Linked DNA regions of Saccharomyces cerevisiae S288C. The protein of the gene in region 4 binds, or shares a complex with, the protein of the main gene of each other region. Each region holds a gene or a part of one and is shown on either strand. Other genes may lie near its edges. A codon is read from its position in the direction of its gene.

The links.
Region 1: the proteins of COX4 (region 4) and MAS1 are in contact, whole or in part, in a crystal structure (PDB 1HR8), measured with the Saccharomyces cerevisiae proteins. Residues at the interface, in NP_011328.1 of Saccharomyces cerevisiae: Ile8 (codon at 972), Arg9 (codon at 969), Phe10 (codon at 966), Phe11 (codon at 963), Lys12 (codon at 960), Pro13 (codon at 957), Ala14 (codon at 954), Thr15 (codon at 951), Arg16 (codon at 948), Thr17 (codon at 945), Leu18 (codon at 942), Cys19 (codon at 939); in NP_013264.1 of Saccharomyces cerevisiae: His70 (codon at 1,962), His74 (codon at 1,974), Phe77 (codon at 1,983), Asn100 (codon at 2,052), Ala101 (codon at 2,055), Tyr102 (codon at 2,058), Thr103 (codon at 2,061), Ser104 (codon at 2,064), Arg105 (codon at 2,067), Glu150 (codon at 2,202), Val154 (codon at 2,214), Glu160 (codon at 2,232), Ile180 (codon at 2,292), Leu181 (codon at 2,295), Trp277 (codon at 2,583), Tyr282 (codon at 2,598), Leu286 (codon at 2,610), Gln289 (codon at 2,619), Ala290 (codon at 2,622), Asn294 (codon at 2,634), Gly302 (codon at 2,658), Met324 (codon at 2,724), Ser327 (codon at 2,733), Thr328 (codon at 2,736), Ser329 (codon at 2,739), Gln379 (codon at 2,889), Leu380 (codon at 2,892).
Region 2: the proteins of COX4 (region 4) and COX1 are in contact, whole or in part, in a cryo-EM structure (PDB 6T0B), measured with the Saccharomyces cerevisiae proteins. Residues at the interface, in NP_011328.1 of Saccharomyces cerevisiae: Asp82 (codon at 750), Thr83 (codon at 747), Lys84 (codon at 744), Pro85 (codon at 741), Leu86 (codon at 738), Ser102 (codon at 690), Tyr103 (codon at 687), Asp104 (codon at 684), Tyr106 (codon at 678), Arg107 (codon at 675), Tyr108 (codon at 672), Val109 (codon at 669), Gly110 (codon at 666), Cys111 (codon at 663), Thr112 (codon at 660), Ala116 (codon at 648), Thr120 (codon at 636), Ile121 (codon at 633), Met122 (codon at 630), Trp123 (codon at 627), Leu124 (codon at 624), Lys125 (codon at 621), Arg133 (codon at 597), Cys134 (codon at 594), Trp135 (codon at 591); in NP_009305.1 of Saccharomyces cerevisiae: Thr174, Asn175, Gly176, Met177, Pro266, Asp496, Glu499, Leu506, Asn507, Val509, Lys510, Ser511, Ser512, Ser513, Ile514, Leu517, Leu518, Thr519, His525, Phe527, Asn528, Thr529, Pro530, Ala531, Val532, Gln533, Ser534.
Region 3: the proteins of COX4 (region 4) and COX3 are in contact, whole or in part, in a cryo-EM structure (PDB 7Z10), measured with the Saccharomyces cerevisiae proteins. Residues at the interface, in NP_011328.1 of Saccharomyces cerevisiae: Leu37 (codon at 885), Val40 (codon at 876), Asn41 (codon at 873), Gly42 (codon at 870), Pro43 (codon at 867), Glu53 (codon at 837), Gly54 (codon at 834), Thr55 (codon at 831), Val56 (codon at 828), Pro57 (codon at 825), Asp59 (codon at 819), Gln62 (codon at 810), Glu63 (codon at 807), Thr64 (codon at 804), Gly65 (codon at 801), Leu66 (codon at 798), Ala67 (codon at 795), Leu69 (codon at 789), Glu70 (codon at 786), Val80 (codon at 756), Phe81 (codon at 753), Asp82 (codon at 750), Tyr103 (codon at 687), Val146 (codon at 558), Gly147 (codon at 555), Val148 (codon at 552); in NP_009328.1 of Saccharomyces cerevisiae: Met1 (codon at 1,330), His3 (codon at 1,324), Leu4 (codon at 1,321), Glu5 (codon at 1,318), Arg6 (codon at 1,315), Ser7 (codon at 1,312), Arg8 (codon at 1,309), His9 (codon at 1,306), Gln10 (codon at 1,303), Gln11 (codon at 1,300), His12 (codon at 1,297), Pro13 (codon at 1,294), Thr74 (codon at 1,111), Tyr75 (codon at 1,108), Leu76 (codon at 1,105), Gly77 (codon at 1,102), His79 (codon at 1,096), Thr80 (codon at 1,093), Met81, Leu159 (codon at 856), Gly162 (codon at 847), Arg164 (codon at 841), Tyr233 (codon at 634), Leu235 (codon at 628), Thr236 (codon at 625), Ala237 (codon at 622), Gly238 (codon at 619), His239 (codon at 616).

Annotation. Positions count from the first base shown.
Region 1 is NC_001144.5:491,344-495,008, reverse strand, and holds MAS1 (mitochondrial processing peptidase), read left to right. Parts: upstream 1-1,754; coding exon 1,755-3,143; downstream 3,144-3,665. Other genes in the region: pseudouridine synthase PUS5, read left to right, coding at 1-515; protein SHH4, read right to left, coding at 620-1,126. UniProt on the Saccharomyces cerevisiae protein: Catalytic subunit of the essential mitochondrial processing protease (MPP), which cleaves the mitochondrial sequence off newly imported precursors proteins. Preferentially, cleaves after an arginine at position P2.
Region 2 is NC_001224.1:12,298-16,887, forward strand, and holds the start of COX1 (cytochrome c oxidase subunit 1), read left to right. Parts: upstream 1-1,520; coding exon 1,521-1,689; coding exon of another isoform or gene 1,690-4,025; intron 4,026-4,137; coding exon 4,138-4,173; coding exon of another isoform or gene 4,174-4,590. Other genes in the region: intron-encoded reverse transcriptase aI2, read left to right, coding at 1,521-1,689, 4,138-4,590; AI5_ALPHA (intron-encoded DNA endonuclease aI5 alpha), read left to right, coding at 1,521-1,689, 4,138-4,173; intron-encoded DNA endonuclease aI4, read left to right, coding at 1,521-1,689, 4,138-4,173; intron-encoded DNA endonuclease aI3, read left to right, coding at 1,521-1,689, 4,138-4,173; intron-encoded reverse transcriptase aI1, read left to right, coding at 1,521-4,025. UniProt on the Saccharomyces cerevisiae protein: Component of the cytochrome c oxidase, the last enzyme in the mitochondrial electron transport chain which drives oxidative phosphorylation.
Region 3 is NC_001224.1:77,394-80,542, reverse strand, and holds COX3 (cytochrome c oxidase subunit 3), read right to left. Parts: upstream 1,331-3,149; coding exon 521-1,330; downstream 1-520. UniProt on the Saccharomyces cerevisiae protein: Component of the cytochrome c oxidase, the last enzyme in the mitochondrial electron transport chain which drives oxidative phosphorylation.
Region 4 is NC_001139.9:149,179-152,190, forward strand, and holds COX4 (cytochrome c oxidase subunit IV), read right to left. Parts: upstream 994-3,012; coding exon 526-993; downstream 1-525. Other genes in the region: TPN1 (Tpn1p), read right to left, coding at 1,859-3,012. UniProt on the Saccharomyces cerevisiae protein: Component of the cytochrome c oxidase, the last enzyme in the mitochondrial electron transport chain which drives oxidative phosphorylation.

The DNA.
Region 1 (3,665 bases), on a different chromosome or scaffold from region 4:
AAGACGGAAGTGTAAAATTCTCTAGATTTTTACAAAAGGGCGGCAACAACGGTTATAAGTTGCAAAGAAAGTATGTAGCTATTGTCGAGTCGTCCGGTCGTTTCAACAAACCAAATAACTATGAAATTAAATATGGTCCTAAATATAATTTCTTGATTTCACATGGTGGTAGGGAGATTACTAAGTTCAAAGAAGTTGACGAAAATTGTATTGTTTTACAATTGGTTACAGGAAAAAAACATCAGATTCGAAATCACGTCTCTCAAATTTTAAATCAGCCCATATTAAACGACAAGAGACATGGCAGCACTGTCAATTTTCCAGAGTTGTTCAATGACCAAATAGCGTTGCATTCAGCGTGCATAATAACGAAAATTGGCCTGCAAACTAAAACGCACTTGATACCTATGGAACACAATAATACTGGCCAACTTTGGTCAAGAAAATACGTCAATGAAGAGGGTGAGTTCACTTTGCCCATAAAAGAAGTCCTGTTGGAAAACTGGGACCAGTAAAATAAGCAATAAATAATCGGTTATTAAATTATTTCTAATACACATATATAACGAGAATAAAAAAGGTAGTCACCACTAACCAAACCATATTGATTAATTGATGATTACTGCCTCTTTTTTTCCACAGGTTTGTTATCCCATAATGATTTTAAAGAGGCAATAAGACCAGCTTCTTGACTCTCTAATTTATATATACCGACGAACGATAAAAAGGAGCCCAAGCTCAATAAATACATCGCGTAATGATGTACCTTTCCATAGACTCTTTCAGAAATATAGTCTATAATGCAAGACTGAAATCCGATATGACAATGACCTAGCAGGACCAAGGAAAGAAATGTGTCGGTAAAAGTGGAAATAGGGCCTGTAGTGACCAAGGGAACTGCGATCAGCGGAAGAACCGCTAAGGACAGTCCGCGCTCGACAATCCAATGGTACGAACCCTGAGCTCTGCTTTCGGGCGGCATATAAGAGGAATCATTTGCGGTCCCACTCACACCTCCAGGTTTCTGTGGAATCTTTGGCAGAAAAGGAATGGTAAAGGATCTGGCAATTGAAGTATGAAAAGCCCTTATTCTGCAGAGTGGTTTCAAAAACTTAGTCGATGACATTCCTACTTTCCTAAGAATTGGGGCAACCTTTTTGAGAATCGTTGCTGATTCATTAGAACTGATAAACGGTCTGTCCACTGGGGACTGAAAATATATAGGTTTGCTTCTATGAAATTCGACGTCAAAATTAAGGGATACCTATGGCCAGCGCCCTTCAACTGACGATTTTTAGTTATCATACGCGTCCCTTATTATCTTAAACCGTAATAAAAAATCGTTACTTCGGATAAGGGTACTCCAATCTGGATGTGAGAGTCTGATAGTACCATGTTAGAGCCGCGTTGAAGGTGCGAATCAGGGTTTTATTCTCCTTAAACTTGATCCCGTCCAAAGGAGTTAAGAAGTAAAATGCACGGCTTTACTAAGACTATATTTACGTATTAAATTCCTCAACACGTAGTGAGGAAAGCTAAAATGCTGAGCTTAATTTCTCAGCCAACAATGGGTGATACTACTGTTCAGTGCACAGATTAGATGACCAATATTATTTTCACGTATTTAGTGATATTCGTAATCGAGCTGGACTCATCTCTTTAGTAATAAGAAGTGAATTTGAACGCTATGGATAAATCATGATATCTTGCTCTCAGGCATCAAACTAGTGCGCAAAGTGATAGGTGATCATACAATGTTTTCAAGAACAGCATCCAAGTTCCGTAATACACGGAGGCTTTTAAGTACAATTTCCTCACAAATTCCAGGAACCAGAACCTCTAAACTTCCTAATGGGTTGACAATTGCCACAGAGTACATCCCCAACACATCTTCGGCTACTGTTGGAATATTTGTCGATGCTGGTTCTAGGGCAGAAAACGTAAAAAACAATGGTACAGCGCATTTTCTAGAACACTTGGCTTTCAAGGGTACTCAGAATAGGTCACAACAAGGAATTGAATTGGAAATTGAAAATATCGGATCTCATTTGAATGCATATACATCAAGAGAAAACACAGTTTATTATGCTAAGTCCCTACAAGAAGATATCCCAAAGGCTGTTGATATTCTAAGTGATATTTTGACTAAGTCAGTTTTAGATAATAGTGCTATTGAGAGAGAAAGGGATGTCATCATCAGAGAAAGTGAAGAGGTGGACAAGATGTATGATGAAGTTGTTTTTGACCATCTTCATGAGATTACGTATAAGGACCAACCTTTAGGAAGAACCATTCTGGGTCCTATAAAAAACATAAAATCAATAACAAGAACTGATTTGAAAGACTATATAACCAAGAACTATAAAGGCGACAGAATGGTATTGGCAGGTGCGGGCGCTGTTGATCATGAAAAATTGGTACAGTATGCTCAAAAATACTTTGGCCATGTGCCCAAATCTGAATCGCCTGTCCCGTTGGGATCACCAAGGGGCCCATTACCAGTTTTTTGTAGAGGTGAAAGGTTTATCAAAGAAAACACGTTACCTACAACACATATTGCTATCGCATTAGAAGGCGTGTCATGGTCTGCACCTGATTATTTTGTAGCTCTGGCAACACAAGCGATTGTTGGTAACTGGGACAGAGCCATTGGCACAGGTACAAACTCCCCCTCTCCATTAGCTGTTGCAGCAAGTCAAAATGGTTCTTTGGCTAATTCTTATATGTCATTTTCCACCTCTTACGCTGATTCAGGTCTGTGGGGAATGTACATAGTAACTGATTCTAATGAGCATAACGTGCAGTTAATTGTTAATGAGATCCTGAAAGAGTGGAAGAGAATAAAATCTGGCAAAATATCGGATGCAGAGGTGAATAGGGCAAAAGCTCAGCTAAAGGCAGCTCTGTTGCTATCGTTGGATGGATCGACAGCCATTGTAGAAGATATAGGCAGACAAGTGGTGACCACAGGTAAAAGATTATCACCAGAAGAAGTTTTCGAGCAGGTTGATAAAATCACTAAGGATGATATTATTATGTGGGCAAATTACAGATTACAAAACAAACCAGTTTCAATGGTTGCCCTAGGAAATACATCCACTGTCCCTAATGTATCCTATATCGAAGAAAAACTGAACCAATGACCACGCCGATTTATTAGTAAGTTCATTTCACATCTCTGCTAATTTCTAATTTCTCTTCATACTTGTATAAAGTTCTATGTCAATAAATTCTTGTTCAAATGAGATGTTGCTACATAAAAAATATGAATAGATATCGGCGGCTCTAGTACCCATTCCCCAAAACACGATGTCGGTATATTAACAGCACGTGTATTTTCTTTTTTGAAGGATACATTAATACTTTCTTCCTAAAACTGCACTTATAGTGGGGTGTGAAAGGGCCCTTCCCGTATTCAATATTAAAGCAGCCCTTCAGATTGCAAAAAATGCACAATAAATTTGTTAATATAAGCCACAAGCCAAAAAAAAAAAAGTGATGCAATTGTATATACTTAACATAAAGATTTTAAGTTATCCGTTACCATTGCATACAGAATTATCCAGATAATACTGTTTACTATGCTCATCGATCGTTTCATATTGGTCATTGCCTTGAAAAAAAAGCACGTGAAAAAAATACTGTGAGACCTTTTCTTGCAATAT
Region 2 (4,590 bases), on a different chromosome or scaffold from region 4:
GGGCCCCGGAACTATTATTATTATTTTTATTTATTTATTATTAAAATATAATAATAAATAGTCCGGCCCGCCCCGCGGGGCGGACGCCGGAGGAGAATTATATTTTTATATAATAATTTATATTTCTATATATATATATATATATTATATATAAATATTATTATATATATTTTTATATATATTATAATTATATTCATTAATATTTTATTATAGTGGTGGGGTCCCAATTATTATTTTCAATAATAATTTATCATGGGACCCGGATATCTTCTTGTTTTTATTTATTATTTTATTAAATTTATTTTAATTATTTATTTATAATTTATATTATACAATTTATTATTTCGTTAATACCTTTATTTATATTATATAATATATTATATTATTATAATATATTTATTGATTATATTAATACATTTAACTAATGTGTGCTCTATATTTATTGAATAGTTTGGTTCTTATCACCCACCCCCTCCCCCTATTACGTCTCCGAGGTCCCGGTTTCGTAAGAAACCGGGACTTATATATTTAATACTAAAAATATAACTACATTACTTTTTTAATATATATAACAATATATATATATATATATATTAATTATATAAAATATAATACTCTATATTAAATATTATTTTTATCAATATTTATTTATATATATAATAATAATAATAATAATCAATATTAATTATTTATATATATAAGATTAATATTATTTAATATATTATGAATAATTTAATTAATAAATCTTTAAATATTATCATAAAAATATAAATTAAATAATTTCTTATTTATAATAAAGAATAATAATATATATAAATATAATAAAGAATGTAAATAATATATATATAATATAATATAATATAAAAAATATATATATATATAAATATATATATAATATATAGATAATAATATTTTTATATAATTTATTTTATTATTAAGTAATAAATAATAAAAAAATCAATATATTAAATAATATATTTATATTAGTTCGGTTTAGTTGGTATTTTGTAATGAGTAAAAAGTAATATATAATATTAAATAATAAGTATTGATATAAGTAATAGATATAATAATAATATTATTAATATTTTATATAAATAATATTAATAATATAGATTATGAAAGAGAGTATTAATATCATTAAATATATATATATGTTATATAATTTAAATGATTTTAATATATATATATATATTATATTATAGATTATGATACATTTATATAAATAATATATATATAAAAATTAATTATACTATTACTTTATAATATAATAATATTTATTTATAAAGATATAAAAGAATTGTTTAAAGTTATAACTAAAATATTATATAGTATTCATTAATAATTAATATTATAAATTCAACTATTGTTATATTTATAAATAGAATAATATATTATTATCCTTTAAGATATAACAATAATTATTTAAATTAAATTAAATTAAATTTAATTAATTTTTTTTTTTAATGAATATAATAATAATAATATTATTAAAATTAATATATAAAAAAAAAGTAAAAATGGTACAAAGATGATTATATTCAACAAATGCAAAAGATATTGCAGTATTATATTTTATGTTAGCTATTTTTAGTGGTATGGCAGGAACAGCAATGTCTTTAATCATTAGATTAGAATTAGCTGCACCTGGTTCACAATATTTACATGGTAATTCACAATTATTTAATGGTGCGCCTCTCAGTGCGTATATTTCGTTGATGCGTCTAGCATTAGTATTATGAATCATCAATAGATACTTAAAACATATGACTAACTCAGTAGGGGCTAACTTTACGGGGACAATAGCATGTCATAAAACACCTATGATTAGTGTAGGTGGAGTTAAGTGTTACATGGTTAGGTTAACGAACTTCTTACAAGTCTTTATCAGGATTACAATTTCCTCTTATCATTTGGATATAGTAAAACAAGTTTGATTATTTTACGTTGAGGTAATCAGATTATGATTCATTGTTTTAGATAGCACAGGCAGTGTGAAAAAGATGAAGGACCTAAATAACACAAAAGGAAATACGAAAAGTGAGGGATCAACTGAAAGAGGAAACTCTGGAGTTGACAGAGGTATAGTAGTACCGAATACTCAAATAAAAATGAGATTTTTAAATCAAGTTAGATACTATTCAGTAAATAATAATTTAAAAATAGGGAAGGATACCAATATTGAGTTATCAAAAGATACAAGTACTTCGGACTTGTTAGAATTTGAGAAATTAGTAATAGATAATATAAATGAGGAAAATATAAATAATAATTTATTAAGTATTATAAAAAACGTAGATATATTAATATTAGCATATAATAGAATTAAGAGTAAACCTGGTAATATAACTCCAGGTACAACATTAGAAACATTAGATGGTATAAATATAATATATTTAAATAAATTATCAAATGAATTAGGAACAGGTAAATTCAAATTTAAACCCATGAGAATAGTTAATATTCCTAAACCTAAAGGTGGTATAAGACCTTTAAGTGTAGGTAATCCAAGAGATAAAATTGTACAAGAAGTTATAAGAATAATTTTAGATACAATTTTTGATAAAAAGATATCAACACATTCACATGGTTTTAGAAAGAATATAAGTTGTCAAACAGCAATTTGAGAAGTTAGAAATATATTTGGTGGAAGTAATTGATTTATTGAAGTAGACTTAAAAAAATGTTTTGATACAATTTCTCATGATTTAATTATTAAAGAATTAAAAAGATATATTTCAGATAAAGGTTTTATTGATTTAGTATATAAATTATTAAGAGCTGGTTATATTGATGAGAAAGGAACTTATCATAAACCTATATTAGGTTTACCTCAAGGATCATTAATTAGTCCTATCTTATGTAATATTGTAATAACATTGGTAGATAATTGATTAGAAGATTATATTAATTTATATAATAAAGGTAAAGTTAAAAAACAACATCCTACATATAAAAAATTATCAAGAATAATTGCAAAAGCTAAAATATTTTCGACAAGATTAAAATTACATAAAGAAAGAGCTAAAGGCCCACTATTTATTTATAATGATCCTAATTTCAAGAGAATAAAATACGTTAGATATGCAGATGATATTTTAATTGGGGTATTAGGTTCAAAAAATGATTGTAAAATAATCAAAAGAGATTTAAACAATTTTTTAAATTCATTAGGTTTAACTATAAATGAAGAAAAAACTTTAATTACTTGTGCAACTGAACTACCAGCAAGATTTTTAGGTTATAATATTTCAATTACACCTTTAAAAAGAATACCTACAGTTACTAAACTAATTAGAGGTAAACTTATTAGAAGTAGAAATACAACTAGACCTATTATTAATGCACCAATTAGAGATATTATCAATAAATTAGCTACTAATGGATATTGTAAGCATAATAAAAATGGTAGAATAGGAGTGCCTACAAGAGTAGGTAGATGACTATATGAAGAACCTAGAACAATTATTAATAATTATAAAGCGTTAGGTAGAGGTATCTTAAATTATTATAAATTAGCTACTAATTATAAAAGATTAAGAGAAAGAATCTATTACGTATTATATTATTCATGTGTATTAACTTTAGCTAGTAAATATAGATTAAAAACAATAAGTAAAACTATTAAAAAATTTGGTTATAATTTAAATATTATTGAAAATGATAAATTAATTGCCAATTTTCCAAGAAATACTTTTGATAATATCAAAAAAATTGAAAATCATGGTATATTTATATATATATCAGAAGCTAAAGTAACTGATCCTTTTGAATATATCGATTCAATTAAATATATATTACCTACAGCTAAAGCTAATTTTAATAAACCTTGTAGTATTTGTAATTCAACTATTGATGTAGAAATACATCATGTTAAACAATTACATAGAGGTATATTAAAAGCACTTAAAGATTATATTCTAGGTAGAATAATTACCATAAACAGAAAACAAATTCCATTATGTAAACAATGTCATATTAAAACACATAAAAATAAATTTAAAAATATAGGACCTGGTATATAAAATCTATTATTAATGATACTCAATATGGAAAGCCGTATGATGGGAAACTATCACGTACGGTTTGGGAAAGGCTCTTTAACACGTGGCAACATAGGTTAATTTGCTATTTCATTTTTAGTAGTTGGTCATGCTGTATTAATGATTTTCTGTGCGCCGTTTCGCTTAATTTATCACTGTATTGAAGTGTTAATTGATAAACATATCTCTGTTTATTCAATTAATGAAAACTTTACCGTATCATTTTGGTTCTGATTATTAGTAGTAACATACATAGTATTTAGATACGTAAACCATATGGCTTACCCAGTTGGGGCCAACTCAACGGGGACAATAGCATGCCATAAAAGCGCTGGAGTAAAACAGCCAGCGCAAGGTAAGAACTGTCCGATGGCTAGGTTAACGAATTCCTGTAAAGAATGTTTAGGGTTCTCATTAACTCCTTCCCACTTGGGGATTGTGATTCATGCTTATGTATTGGAAGAAGAGGTACACGAGTTAACCAAAAATGAATCATTAGCTTTAAGTAAAAGTTGACATTTGGAGGGCTGTACGAGTTCAAATGGAA
Region 3 (3,149 bases), on a different chromosome or scaffold from region 4:
CCTTTCGGGGTTCCGGCTCCCGTGGCCGGGCCCCGGAACTATATAATATTTAATAATAATCAAATAAAAAATATTTTTTATAAAATAATATTAATAATATATATATATATATGAATTTATATATTAGTTAAATTAATAATATTTATATTATATTATATCATATTAAAAAAGTCCCGCTGGAGGTGAGGCGGTGACCTCGAAGGAATATAAAAATATAAATAATTACATTATTATATTATATTATATTAATATTATATTTTTTTTTTTATAAATATTAAATAAATTTATTAATTATCTTTATAAAAGGTAAATGAAAAAAGAGTATAATGATTATATTATTATTAGTTCCCGCTTCGCGGGAACCCCGTTAGGAGTTTTGAAGGAATAATATATAATAATTATATTTGTAAGAATATTATTATAATAATATAAAATATATATATATAAATTATAATATATTAATTATTGTTAATTATTAATAATATATATATTAATCATTTAGATATATAATTCTATAGCCTTAGACTCCTCATCAGTAGAAGACTACGTATAAAAATAATCAGATAACATCTAAAACATGTAGATAAATAATAGTTGTTTCATATCCAACATGATGTCCAGCTGTTAAATGATAATTTCTCATTCTTCAATAATTAACACCTAACATAGCTGCTAACATTACCATATGTAAGAAATGTAATCCTGTACCAGCATAGAATACTGAACCATAAACACCATCAGAGATAGTGAATGCAGCATTAGTATATTCAATATATTGACAAGTAACAAAAATAACAATTAATCAGAATGTAATTAATAAACCTGATAAGGCTTTATTTCTATTACCTGCGATTAAGGCATGATGACTATAAGTTACAGTAGCACCAGAAGATAATAAGATAATAGTATTTAATAAAGGTAATTCGGTAGGTTGTACAGCTTCAATACCTACGGGTGGTCAACATGCACCTAATAGTACATCAGGACTCATAGCTGAATGGAAATAAGCTCAGAATAAACCAGCAAAGATTAATACTTCAGATAATACAAACATTAAGAAACCTAAATTAATACCTTTTCTTACTGCTATAGTATGATCACCTAAATATGTAGCTTCAGCTACAATATCTCTAAATCATAAAATAGAACTTGTTAATAATACAAATAATGCTAAATATACCATATTCATATTACCAATATAACCATGCATTGTTAATGCTAGTGATAATGCTAATGATAATAATGCAAATGATACTACAATAGGTCATGGTGAAGGCATAACCATATGAAATGGATGTTGTTGATGTCTACTTCTTTCTAAATGTGTCATAAATTTATTGTTATATATATATTATATATATAATATAATTAAATAAATAAATAAAAAAAATATTAATAAAATATTATCCCTTAAACTATATAATAAAATTAAATAATAATATTAATTTAATAAATCTTTTATTTAATAATAATATAAATTATATTAAATATTTATAATAATATATTATTTATAAAATTATAAAATAAATTTATATATAATTCAATATATATATATTAATTTATATATTTAAATTAAATATAATTAAATAAATAATATAATCGAATTAATATCTCTTTCGACCGGATTATTTATTCAATTATTAATAATATAAATAATTAATTTGTATTGAATATAATTTATTTAAATATTTTATTATTATTATTATTATTATTATTAATTTATTAATATTAAAGGAAATATATTTATTATATTATATTATATATATTTTTTATTATTTATATTTATTATTAATATAAATCATTGATAATATCTTCTTTTTATTTATTTATTATTATAATTAAAAAAGAATCTTATATTAATTAATATTATTTATTTTTTTTTTATTTAATAAATAAATATTATTATATTAAGATAGATATAATATTATATCTAGATTTAGGAAATATAGGGTTCGAACCTATAATCTTTCGTGTGTAAAACGAATGCTATACCAATTAAGCTAATCTCCTTTATAAAATATATACTCCACAGATATATATCCAAAACTCTTATTAATTATTATAATTATTATTTTATTTATTTATATATATATAATTATAATAATTCATATAATTATTATAATCTTATAAATATTCCTATTGAAAATTATACTTTATAATTAAATTTATTAATAATTATTTAATTTAATATATAAAATATTTATTTATATATATATTTATATATATATATATATTTTTATAAGTAGTATATTATATTTTATATATAATAATATTTATAATATATATATTATAAATTATATATAATATATTATATATTTATTTAATAATTTTTATATAATTAATATATTATATATTTAATAAATTTTATATAATTAATAAGGTAAATATAATTTAATGGTAAAATGTATGTTTTTAGGTGCATATTATCTAAGTTCAAATCTTAGTATTTACAAAATAAAAAATTAATATAAATTTATTATAATCATTTATAAATTTATTATAATATTATTATTATATTTATTTATTATTAATAATTATTTATTATTTATTATATAATATTTTTATAATTATATATTAAATATATATAAATTTTATTATAATAAAACTCCTTCTTAAATAGGGGTTCGGTTCCCATGGGGTCCCTCACTCCTTACGGGGTTCCCGCAAAGCGGGAACTAATAATAATATATATTTTTATATATATATTAATATATATATATATTTATAACTCCTTTATTGATATTTATTCTTATTTAGAATATTTTTAATTAAATAATATAATTAAATGAATACCAAACTTATATTATATTTATATTTATATTTATATTTCTCCTACCGGGGTTCCGGCTCCCGTGGCCGGGCCCCGGAACTAAATATATAAACTTTTTTTTATAATATTATATTTATTAAAATATTAATAAATAAATAAATAAGAGATATAATATATATTTTCTTTGTATTAAATATATTATATATATATATATTAATTATTATAATATATTTATTATAAATTAATTATTAATTAATATATTATTATTATTGCCCTTAATGAGAATCGAACTACATGTAAATAAATCTTCAATTTATCGCTTTACCACTAAGCTATAAAAGCTATATATAATATAATACTTATTATTACTTATAATATA
Region 4 (3,012 bases):
ATCTCCCAAGGAGAACGAAGCAATACCGGTAAGCTGCTTACCGTCGGGGCAGGGAAGTTCAATTCAACTCCCTGTGCCGAGAATTTACTTTTTTCGAAAAATCGACGTCTTTAAAAAAAGAAATCAGTATGTATGGGTGGGTGTATGGATGCTGTAAGCACAGTCTAGAATCTTTTGGAAGTAACTTCGCAACAACCTCTAGCTAGCCATCTCTGACAGAGATAGAAATAGTAATCAGTTATGACATGAATAGTACTAATATTAATAAGAATTTTTAAATAAAAATATATCTCGACCTTTTCTCGATCTTTTTGGTTATGTATTTTTTGGCTCTTCATTATAGATAGAGCAAAGCGTTCGCCTTAACCTTCCTGCAAAGAACTTTCTTGTGGAACTTTGTTAACATGACGTGTGTAAAAGCTCAGACCTGGTAAGAATATTCGCTAGGTTTCCAAAAAAAAAAATATAAATAAAGAAGAAGGTAAAAAGTAAAAGAGAAACAGAAGGGCAACTTGAATGATAAGATTAGTGATGGTGGTCATCATTTGGAACACCAACAGGGTTTAGTTTGTAAACAGAACCACATTCCCAGCATCTGGCGACTTCGTTAACAGTTGGTTTTAACCACATAATAGTATGTGAACCAGCGGGAGAACCCGTACAACCGACATAACGATAATCATCATAAGATTCAATGATGATCGGATCTTTCATGGTACCCTTCCTGGACGAATCTAATGGTTTGGTGTCGAAAACATCGATACCCTCTAATTTACCCAATAATTCTAACCTAGCTAAACCAGTTTCTTGATCTAGGTCTGTTGGAACGGTACCCTCTTTAGCACCAGGACCAATCAAAGTTTCTGGACCATTAACTTCTGCTAAGTTTTGGGCAGTTTTCACCACGGGTTTTTGCTGAAGCAGATATCTAGAGCTACACAAAGTTCTTGTGGCTGGCTTGAAAAATCTTATAGATTGACGTAGTGAAAGCATTGTGCTTGTTATCTATTTGTATGGCAACATCAAAATCGAAATGGGTGAGTATTGTTAGTATACTGTTTCTTCAGGGAGAAGAATACGTTGACTAAAGGAAAGTGACAGGGAATATTTCGCATCGAATTCTTCATTATATGATGGACAATTTGGACAATTATGCAATTATCGTCTCAAGCCAAATAGAAAAGCAGGGAACGAGTTAAACTTGCAAATAAATTTTTTCTTAAAGTCAAATCCAGATTTGTTTTCTCTTAGTTCTTTTCCGTTTCGTTCGATCTGTTAAATATCTTCTTTCCTGGTAGTTCTTCTCCTACATCTCATGTATTTTTCAATAAGAGGATTATAACATACATTTCAAAATAATCTTATTTCCTGTTTATGCTAATTTTTACGCAATTAGCGTGCCTAAGTACAAAAAAATGTTTTGTAAAAAGTATGAAAAAAATTCTAATCTTCGTATATCTTTCTTTCCTGTGTTTATACTTGGAAGAAGCGAAGTATTTTATCCTTGAGTGTGTCTTATTTTCTCTTCCCTTTATTTGCTACTAACCAAGATGGGAGATATCGCTTTTTCGAAGGACGCCTTTGGAATCCGCTGATCTTATTGGTGGACAGTCAGCTGACAGAAAACTTAGATCGTGACAGCAAATTAAACGATTTGTGCTACTGTTCAAAGTGTCAGTATATCACTCGATGATTTCAATTGTCCACCAGGCTTAGATTTTCATGTGAAAAGATAATGTGTACAAAAAAATATCCTCCCTGAGCGTAATTTAACATACCATGAATCTACCTGCCAATATTATCTAAACTAAAGTTTGCCGCTGCACCGTAGTTTTAATATATACTTATGTCATTTCAATTAACGACCAAATTTACGTAGCTCTAAGTATCTACAAGGAGGGTATACAACACCTGAGAACGCCATACTTAACCACATTGCGACATCACCACCATATTCACCAAATTTGGCAGCAATTGGGCCAATCCAATAGGCTTGCGCCATACCAACTACCACACCAGCAACTCCTACAATAAACGCAAATGTTGCTGCATAACCGTGCGTTAAAACCTCATAATCTTCCCATTTGTCCCAATTGTAACGATGTTTAGTCACCTTATGTTTTCTTTTTAACAAATGGATATTAGTAACTGCATCTTTCTCCACTTCTTTTGAAGATCCAACAAGTTCCGGTCCATTTATTTCTCCTGTAACTGTAGGAAACTCTTTGGTGTACAAATGTAAGAAAAACCTTCTGAATACTAAATTCTCTTCGAATAATAAGATAAAGTACATGCTAATCCAGTAGCCTATCATTGGTAGGAAATTTCCCAAAATAGTACTAAAATGATTACGACCTATTAATGCGCATACCAAACAAATTATAGTACAAACAATAGACCAGAACCAGCGAGGGATTTTTGCACAAAACACACTAGAAAGTTGGATGGAGAATGCTGCCGAATACGTATTGATGATGTTGTTGGATACCAAACTGAATACCAGTACTACCACGCAGAACTTTCCGAAGCCGTTCCAACGCTGAAAACCTGCCCAAAGTAGACCACCCATTCCATGGGAATCGTACTCGACTGACCAAGGCTTATACGACATGGCAACAGAAGCTAGTAAGAGACCTAAGATTCCGACGAAACAGGTAGGCAAAAATGTTCCAAAAAACGTTAGGCAAAAAATTTGAATATATGGTGTATCTTCTGGGAACAATATATAATAGTCTGCTGTAATAGACCCCCAAGTAGCCGTAATACTATAGCATAATGAAAAAAAACTCATCCAGTTGCCCTTTCGGGTGGAAGAGTCCAAATTTCCCTTTGAAACGTATGCATTGACGAAGCTGTATTTATCACTTGATGAAATGTACAGTAGTAAAAATGCTGTCAGGACGGGTACGGATAAGTAAGTTTCCACTTTAATGACTTGTTTGATACCGAAAATGGCAACTAAAAAGGAGCATACGGTCACTATGACAATCCCTACCCATAGGGGTACTTTAT